Coturnix japonica: one gene and its partner. The protein of the gene in region 1 binds, or shares a complex with, the protein of each later gene. Links are inferred from orthologs where the notes say so. Each region holds a gene or a part of one and is shown on either strand. Other genes may lie near its edges.

The links.
Region 2: EIF3D (region 1) and EIF3L share a complex: the UniProt entries of both Homo sapiens proteins name them as parts of the eukaryotic translation initiation factor 3 (eIF-3) complex. The link is inferred for Coturnix japonica from reciprocal best matches to the Homo sapiens genes EIF3D and EIF3L.

The regions. Positions count from the first base shown.
Region 1 is NC_029516.1:47,223,429-47,227,748, forward strand, and holds the start of EIF3D (eukaryotic translation initiation factor 3 subunit D), read left to right. Parts: upstream 1-1,465; 5' UTR 1,466-1,583; intron 1,584-1,808; 5' UTR 1,809-1,819; coding exon 1,820-1,942; intron 1,943-3,025; coding exon 3,026-3,071; intron 3,072-3,461; coding exon 3,462-3,598; intron 3,599-3,700; coding exon 3,701-3,786; intron 3,787-4,245; coding exon 4,246-4,318; intron 4,319-4,320. UniProt on the Homo sapiens protein: mRNA cap-binding component of the eukaryotic translation initiation factor 3 (eIF-3) complex, a complex required for several steps in the initiation of protein synthesis of a specialized repertoire of mRNAs.
Region 2 is NC_029516.1:46,630,495-46,635,000, reverse strand, and holds the start of EIF3L (eukaryotic translation initiation factor 3 subunit L), read left to right. Parts: upstream 1-1,459; 5' UTR 1,460-1,551; coding exon 1,552-1,584; intron 1,585-1,677; coding exon 1,678-1,726; intron 1,727-1,803; coding exon 1,804-2,014; intron 2,015-2,660; coding exon 2,661-2,740; intron 2,741-3,013; coding exon 3,014-3,075; intron 3,076-4,380; coding exon 4,381-4,450; intron 4,451-4,506. Other genes in the region: ANKRD54 (ankyrin repeat domain-containing protein 54), read right to left, coding at 1-20, 226-324, 986-1,033, 1,116-1,323. UniProt on the Homo sapiens protein: Component of the eukaryotic translation initiation factor 3 (eIF-3) complex, which is required for several steps in the initiation of protein synthesis.

The DNA of each region.
Region 1 (4,320 bases):
GGATCACAGATCAAGTGATTGCAAGCGAGTGTATTTTGAGCAAAGTCAGCACTTTTCTGGGACACTGTGTGTCTCACGTGCTGATAATGATAGCCGACAGCTGGATGGCAAATCATCTGCAGAAACAGTGCTGGAGCTGACACCAGCACAGCCCTGAGTGCAGCCCAGGACAGGAGGTGAGCTGGGCAGGGTCTGGTGCCAAGTAAGCGTGAGCCAAAGCCACCCTGTCCCCTCTTCCAGTAAATCCCACTTAAATGGGGGAACAAATCTCACCTTCCTCAAGGCTGGATTTTTCTTGCAGCTGAAGTTTCTCCTCTTGATAAGAAACCGGTAGGTTATGATGTGCCTAAAAGAGCATTTGTTCTCTGATGGCCATTCCCTGTGCTTGCTTTCCCCTCTGAGACACACTAATACCCAGCTCCATTCCCAGACGAGGCAGCCTGAGGGGCTGGGCCCGAAGTGCCAGCACTCTTCAGCAGGCAGCAGCAGCGCTACACTTGCCTTTCAGCACCTCACACAGGACTGTAAGGGAACAGGCAAGCAGGGGGAATGCAGAGTCTAGGTTTATCAGTCTAGTTGTTTTCTCTTTCTTCATTCCGTTTGCTCTTTGGGACTTCCTTTTACGTTTCCTAAGCATGACTTGAACGTGGCTATGCTCAGGTTGAGTCTGTGATATCCAGGGCTGTTCCAGCACTGACGTTTGTCACCACAAAGGCTGTTTGCCTGTGAGAGTTACAAATGGTATTTTATAAACCGTGTTTCTGTAAGTGGATTTCTCTTTTTGCTAGCGGGGAAAACTGCTTTAATAATCCGACTTCTGATTAATGGCGCAGCCTCCTGGCAAAGCAGACTGCTTCGGTTATTTCTCGAGGAGGGTTTAAACGCAGTAAATAAAGGAGGAAATGCACGGTGCTCTGCCTGCAAAATATTGATCTAGACTCAGATGGTGCAAGATACCCAGGGACGTTCTGCAAACAGGTTGTGGTGAGGTGGGGGTCGGCCTCTGCTCACAGGTAACAGTTATAGGGTGAGAGGGAATGGCCTCAGGGGAGGGTCAGGTTGGATATGAGGAAAGATTGAGATATGAGGAAGGTGCTGCAGTGGCACAGGCTGCCCAGGCAGGTGGTGCAGTCACCGTCCCTGGAGGTGTTCAGAGCCGTGTGGATGTGGCACTGAGGGACGTGGTCATGGGGATGGTGGGGATGGGCTGATGGTTGGACCGGGTGATCCTAGAGGTCTTTTCCAGCCTTAATGATCCTATGTAAGGCACGCGACGAACCCACCCTGCCCCCTCCCTACCCCCCGGGTAAGTAAAAGCCGTGGTGACGTCACACCCCACCACGTACAGCCCGATGCCGGCGGTGACGTCACGGGGCGCATTGCGCCTAACGGGAGATCCGCGCTTTACGGCAGTCGCGCTCCGCCCCCTCGCTCTCTCTCTTTTACGACGGTGGTGCGCGGCGGCGCCGTCGCGCAGTGCTGACGCAATAAGGGCGGGACGGGGCTGCGCGCGGCCTTTCCTCGCCGGCCGTCGCCGCCGCTGTCGTATCCGTCGCCATCGGGGCCGTAACGCGGCCGCTCAGGTGAGGGGACGCCGCGGCCGCCCCGTCACGCTCCGCCGTCCTACCGGGACCGGCCCGCGGGCAGCGCGACCCCCGGCCCCGCCCAGGCGTTACCGCCGGTTCCGGTGGGGCCGGGCCGGCGCCCCCGCCTTCCTGCGCCCGCTCCGGGCTCCCTCGGTGCCCCTTCCCCTCACGGTGGCGCCGACGGGGCGGGTGCTGAAGGAACGTTCCGCTTGTTCCCCGCAGGGCTGTGAGCCATGGCGAAGTTCGTGACCCCCGTGATCCAGGACAACCCCTCGGGTTGGGGCCCGTGCGCCGTGCCCGAGCAGTTCAAGGATATGCCCTACCAGCCCTTCAGCAAGGGGGACCGCCTGGGCAAGGTACTGCGCTGTGTGGCTGCTGGGTGCACCCCTGTGCCTCTGCTGAGCTACCAGAGTGGGGAGCTGGGTTAGACGTTGGGAGGGGTCTCTTTTTTTGCTCGGCAGAGAAAGACCTGGGGGTCTTGGTGTGCGAAAGACTCAACATGAGCCAGCAGTGCGCTCTGGCAGCCCGGAAAGCAAATGGATCCTGGGCTCCATCAGGAGAGGTGGTCAGCAGGATAGGGAGATCGTCCTCTCTACTCTGCTTTGTGAGCCCATCTGGATACTGTGTCCAGGTGTGGAGCCCTCAGTACAAAAAACATGGAATTTTGGAAAGGGTCCAGAGGAGGCCACGAAGATGATCAGGGGCTGGAGCACTCCCCTATGAGGAACAGCTGAGGGAGTTGGTGTTCGCCTAGAGAAGAGAAGGTTGCGGGTGACCTCATTGCAGCCTTTCAGTACTGAAGGAACTACTCCCAGGAGGGAGTAAACTCTTCAAAAGGCTGATAATAGCAGGACTAGGGGAAATGGTTTTAAGTTGAAGGAGGGAAGATTAGGTTGGATTTTAGGGGAATCTTCACTAGGAAAGTGGTTAGGCCCTGGACACGGCTGCCCAGGGAGTTGTGAATGCCCGTCCTTGAGGTGTTCAGACCAGGTTGGACGGGCCCGCAACCTGATCTAGTAAGGTGTATGTTTGGCGCCTGCCAGGCAGGTTGGAACTACATGATCCTTGAGGTCCCTTCCAACCCGGGTCATTCTGTGATTCTTTGTTTAGAGGACGCTGAGGCGCTGGCACAGACTGCCCAGAGAGCTGTGGTGCCCATACACCTGCAGCTTAAAGCCGGTGAATGAGCTGGTGGGGGGCAGGATTTAGATATTCTTTAAGATTCCTTCCAACCTGAGCCATTCTGAGATATGACATTATATGGTTCTCCAGCACCTTGACAGTTGTGAGCATTCTGTGAGGCTTGCTTATGGAGGTGGGAGTTGAGGTGCATACAGCAGTCCCTTATTTTGCCTTTTGAGGCCCTACTGGGGGGGGGGACGACACACACATCATATTAACACTTGCTTTTTTTTTTTACTGTATATTTTTGTCCTTAGGTGGCAGATTGGACAGGAGCCACGTATCAGGATAAGAGATACACAAGTACGTGTTGTCCAATGGCTGTTCCTGCTATTTATTTTGTGCAAAGCTTACTTCAAACGTCATCCCTGCTTTCGTGTTTCCCACTGGCTCTACCGGCTACATACACACCTCAGCAGAGGAGGCTCTTTAATTTCAGAAGCGTGTCTCACCGCTTGGAGAGCTGCGTGGGGCTCTCCCTGCCCTTAGGGTTCCCTTGTGGGTTTGTTCCATGTGCTGACTGGTGCTTCTCTGGGAGGTTCAGAGCAGGGAGGCAATGTGACAGTCTAATGCAGGAGTCCTAGTTGATGCATTAGACTTGAGTAAAGGCTACTGAGGAAAACTGGGGGGGCGGGTGGAGTGTCATATTTTTGCTTCCAAGCTTCATAGCAAAATGATTTATTTTATTTCCAGACAAGTACTCATCACAGTTTGGTGGTGGAAGTCAATATGCGTATTTCCATGAGGAGGATGAGACCAGCTTCCAGTTGGTGGATACAGCCCGGACACAGAAAACTGCATACCAGAGGAATCGCATGCGATTTGCACAGGTAAAGCTTTACTTTCAGAAACAGGCTCAAAAAAAGAGATTGAGCAATACAGAATTACTTTGCCACTAATCTGTCCTTTTATTCTTTGCTGCATTCCCACAGAGGAACCTTCGGAGAGACAAGGACCGCCGGAACATGCTGCAGTTCAGCATGCAGACGCTGCCAAAGAGTGCCAAGCAGAAAGAGAGGTGCGGGCTTCACATACAAGCATTCTGTACTTGGAGTGTGTGAACATACTGTTAACGAGTAATTTAAGTTACTGTAACAGAACCCACCAAAGTTCCTAGCAAAGCATTTCAGGGTATTTTAATGTTTGCTGATGCGCCCAGTAGTTACAAGCATGGATTTCAGGCAGCTATTTAAGAATCTAGGAGATGTTTTGAGTCAAGTTTAGGAGGTAAGTGTGACAACTTAAAGCAGGATGTGCTCTTCCTGGAAACTGTGTTGTGGTCATTAAGGATAAAAACATATAAAGGGTGTTCAGAGTGCAGAACAAAGCTCTTAACACTTCAGTTGTTTGGATAGCCAAATTCTCAGCCTGCAAACGTTGTTCCTCTGGTGATTATTTGGAAGTGTGGGAGTCGTGGCAGGGAGCTTCTTGTGTTGAGAACTTGTTGTAATGGCTTTTCACCTATTTGTCATTGTAGGGATCGTTTGCGCCTCCAAAAGAAGTTTCAGAAGCAGTTTGGAGTGAGGCAGAAATGGGACCAGAAGTCACAGGT
Region 2 (4,506 bases), about 590 kb from region 1:
GTGATCCAGAAGCAGTTGTACTGGAAGCAATAACACAGATACACGTTAATTCCTTTCCTCTGCCCCACTGACAGCACCTTAATGGCGTAAGAAAGGTCATTTAGCAGTGCGCTGCTGACCCACTAGTCCATGTGGCAGCTTGCAGGCTGCAGAAGGGATGTTTCTGTCCAGCTTATGCAGACAGTAAATGGAAAATGGATGACTGAAGATCCCCTTCCCACTCACCAATGTGATCATTGCCATTGCAGGAGGCAAAGTGCAGGGCTGTCCGGCCTTTGTCATCCGCAGCACAGGGGTCAGTTCCATCCTCCAGCAGTTGCTGCACTGGCAGTGCCAAGAAAGAAAAGGATGCAGGTAAGTTGAAGGGACACCTGATCAGAAAGGGGTGATGCTACCAGCTCTTCTGCAGGTAAGTATGGACCCTGCACAAGGTCAGAGCTCACAGATGAATGCATCCATCAGTTCATGAAACAAGGTGTACTGTAAAGCTGGAGGGTACAACATCACCCCATCCTGTAATGCCAGGGGTTGTTACAAATCCCGTCTATTTCCGATTGTTCACAACATGGTCTGATAACAGACAAAGGAGGAACCACGACAGGGGGCAAATGACATATGCCAGTATTGCTGATGAATGCTTAGGATCAAAACCCAGCTGATCTACAGTACATGGAAGTCAAGAGAGTCACAGAGCTGATGAGTGGGCAAAAGTTACGTACCAAAAAGCTGGAATAACAGCTGATTGCTAATCTAGCCTGAGGCAGCTGGACCCAATACAGTGAAAAAATCAATATAACAATCAGTCTCACTCTGCTCAGAGAACGGAACAAAAGGCTCAAGAGAAGCAACTTCTAGATCTTCAGCAACTAAAGGAAGATTCCTGCAAACTACCTGCACCTTCCTTCTCCTCGTCCTCTGCTGAAACAAAGAGCTTTGAACAAACTGCCTTTCCAGGAAGTGGCTTCACGTCAGGTTGAAGTCTCACCTGTGTCCAGGTCGTTGCCATTGGCAGCCTCACGCAGCCTCTTCAGGGCTGGGGAGGAAAGAAAGCCATTAGTGTGAAGCACGGAGGAGGAAGGGGGCAGGGGAGGAAGGGGGAACCCGCTCCCGCTCACCGTGGCTCTCCTTGCCCGTAGGCCCCAGGCGACGGTGGATGCGGGCGGCCCTGCGCAGGCGGCGGGCCGGGATCTTGCCGGCAGGTTCCTCTCGCTGCCACAGGACGTGCAGGTAGCCGAGGGAGGCTTCCCCCGCCGCCCCTCCCAGCGCCATCCCGGCTCCCAGAGCGGACTCCGACTCCGTCCCCGCAGCAGACTCGGCCTCCATTCCCTCACGGGCCGGGCCGGGCGGTACGGGGTGTGAGGGGAGGGGCGGGAAGGGTCGTCGCTGACATAGTGCAGACGGGCAGGCGGACTCTGCAATCAGAGAGAAAAGCCTCTGAAGACAAGCAGTTATTTTAACCAATAGAGAGACTAAACAAATTCGGCCGGCCTTCCGGAGCGTGCCGCTTGGTCCCACCTCCTCTTCCTGCCTGCCCAGGCCCCGCGCCGCGCCATGGCCTACCCGGGGGAGGACTACGACAACGATGTGCGAGCGGGGGGCGGGCTGCGGGGATGGGGGGGGGTTTGTGGGTCCGGTTCGTGCTCGTCGCGGTAACATCCCCGCATCGTGTCTTCACAGGCCGCCTACGACCCGTACGCCTACTCCAACGACTATGATATGCACACGGGTGAGTGCGCGGTGCGGGCCGCCCCGCGGGGTGGGGGCTGTAGGCCTCGGGCTTACAACCCGCCTCTTTCCCTTCAGGAGACCCGAAGCAGGATCTGGCCTACGAGCGGCAGTACGAGCAGCAGACGTACCAGGTGATCCCCGAGGTCATCAAGAACTTCATCCAGTACTTCCACAAGACCGTGTCCGACCTCATCGACCAGAAGGTGTACGAGCTGCAGGCCAGCCGAGTCTCCAGCGATGTCATTGACCAGAAGGTGTATGAGATCCAGGACATCTATGAGAACAGGTGCGGGGCTGTCCTTGCATTCTCACTGCTTAAAACCTCCCATACTTAAAGGCCCCGGGCCCCCGGTATGAGAAAGATGTAGAGCTGTTGGAGTGGGTCCAGGGGAAGGCCACCTCTGGAGTACCTCTTCTGTGAAGAAAGGATGGGAGCTGGGCTTGTTCAGCCTGGAGACCTCATTGCAGCCTTCCAGTACTTGAAGGGAGCTTACCCACAGGAGGGAACTCGGCTTTTTTACATGGGCAGATAGTGATAGGACAAGGGCAACAGTTGAAAACTAAAATTAGATGTGATAGTTTTTCACTGTGAGGCTGTTGAGGCATTGGAGCAGCCCAGAGAGGTTCTGGATGCCCAGTCCTTAGAAGTGTTCAAGGCCGGGTTGGATAGGACCCAGGGCAACTCAGTCTGGTAGCTGATTTAGTTGTCGGTAATACTGATGCAAACTAGATGATCTTTAAGGTTCTTTCCAACCCAAGCCATTCTATGGTCAGTTTTTTAACTGCTTTGTTTGCCATTCTAATTCCTTAGTAACACCAGTTTTGAAGGGAGACAGTGTCCTATCAAGTCCAAGCCCTTTGTACTGTGGTTTCTAACTGCAGCTCTGTGATGCTCAGGGATGTTTTCTCATACCCCACGTCTTATCTTTCAGCTGGACAAAGCTAACAGAAAGGTTTTTCAAGAACACCCCATGGCCAGAGGCAGAGGCCATTGCCCCACAGGTTGGAAATGGTAAGCATTTCTTTTCCACTCTGTTTTCCTTACAGGAGAATGAAGGAACTAAATTACTTTTGATGTGTTAGGGAGCTGGCATGTGGTTTTTATGAATCACTCATCTTTGCTATGGCAGCTCCTTCTGTAGATGCCTATCAGAAAGTCAGATGAATGAGCATCCTCTTTTACTTGTCCTTGTAACTGTGGCAGTAGGAACATCACCGGTGCCTCAGAGATCCAGTTGCCTAAGCTTCATGGTTTGCTGATATCCAGTTCTCTCATCTCTTCCAGATGCAGTTTTCCTCATCCTGTACAAGGAGCTGTATTATAGGCATATCTACGCCAAAGTCAGCGTGAGTATTTGCTCTGTGTCTTTTAGTTGCGCTTGGTTCTTCTGCCATCAAAGTGAACAAGTTGCACTGCTGTTAAAGCATCAGTGGTTCCAAAGTTTTGCAAAACAATATTGAATAGATTTAGGAGGTATGGGTCGAGTTAGAAATAGCTGAATTTTCTCTCTGTTAGAGCTGTATAACTGCATGACTTACAGGTCAGTTTTGTGTGTTTCTTCATGACTCTTTATTTCTTCTTCAGGCTAGCAGGTGTATGAGGGGGTGTCACAAGAGGAGTTTGAGTTACTTGTAATTGAAAGACCATACGGGGTCAGAGTGTTTTGTGGATAGGAAGAAACTGGCACCACAGAGGATACAGGAGAAGAAGACAGAAGGAATAATGGTCTATTAAAAAAACAACAACAACAAACCATGCTTCTTTCCCTTAAAAAGGCTAATTTGAAGTCAGTAGGAAAATCAGAGTAGTTCTTGGCTGTAAGAAAGAAGCAGGACAGGTGTGTGACTTACATGGTGAATGAGTAATAATTGCAGTTTTGGTTTGGACCACAGGGTGGAGAAATGGGTTAATGCAGGAGTCTTTTTGAAGTTCCTAAATCAAAGACTTGCCTGAACAGGTGAAACTGGTTGCTTGAGTTATTTTGTAGGAGGTTCCCAAGCTGCCCATGGGGTGTCTACAGGTGACACAAGATAATTCTAGGAAGAGTGATTCCCTCCTGTGTTTATCGGTCTTCTAGAGCATTTAAAACTTATTCTTTATGCAGAGGGCGGTGAGGCACTGGCACTGCTGCCCAGAGAGCTGTGGGTGCCCCATCCCTGGAGGTTCAAGGCTAGGTTGGATGGGGGCTGAACTGGTGGCCCTGTCCACAGCAGGGTCCCTTCCAAGCTATTCTATGATTCTTTGGTATGATTGTCTAGAAGCAGCTGTGTTGTTGGGATTTACAAAGACCTTCCTTGAGGGGAAGAGGACAAAAAGCTGTGTAGGTTAATAGGCAGTTCTTAGGTCTGGACAGCACAGAGGAGGAAAAGGAGACTTAAAGTATTCTATTCACATGAGACTTCATCACTTAGTTGTACTAGAAGCTACCTGGACTTGAAAAGGCAGCCTTCTTCTACTGGACAACAGTGAGACAATTTAATTTGTTCTGGGTGATGTTAGTGATTGGTGGGTGGTTGAATATCAGCTCTAATGTCACCAAAACAGATCTATTGCCTTGACTGTTGGCTGTCCTTTGTAGGCTATTGCCCATAAAGGACCATTAGTTTTGCTGTACTTCAGACTAAATGGACTGTAATGTCTTCTCGCTGCAGGGGGGGCCCACTCTGGAGCAGAGATTTGAATCTTACTACAACTACTGCAATCTTTTCAACTACATCCTCAGTGAGTTGCTGCAATTAATCATTGGTTTGTGACTTTTGGAGAAGACCGAATGCAGA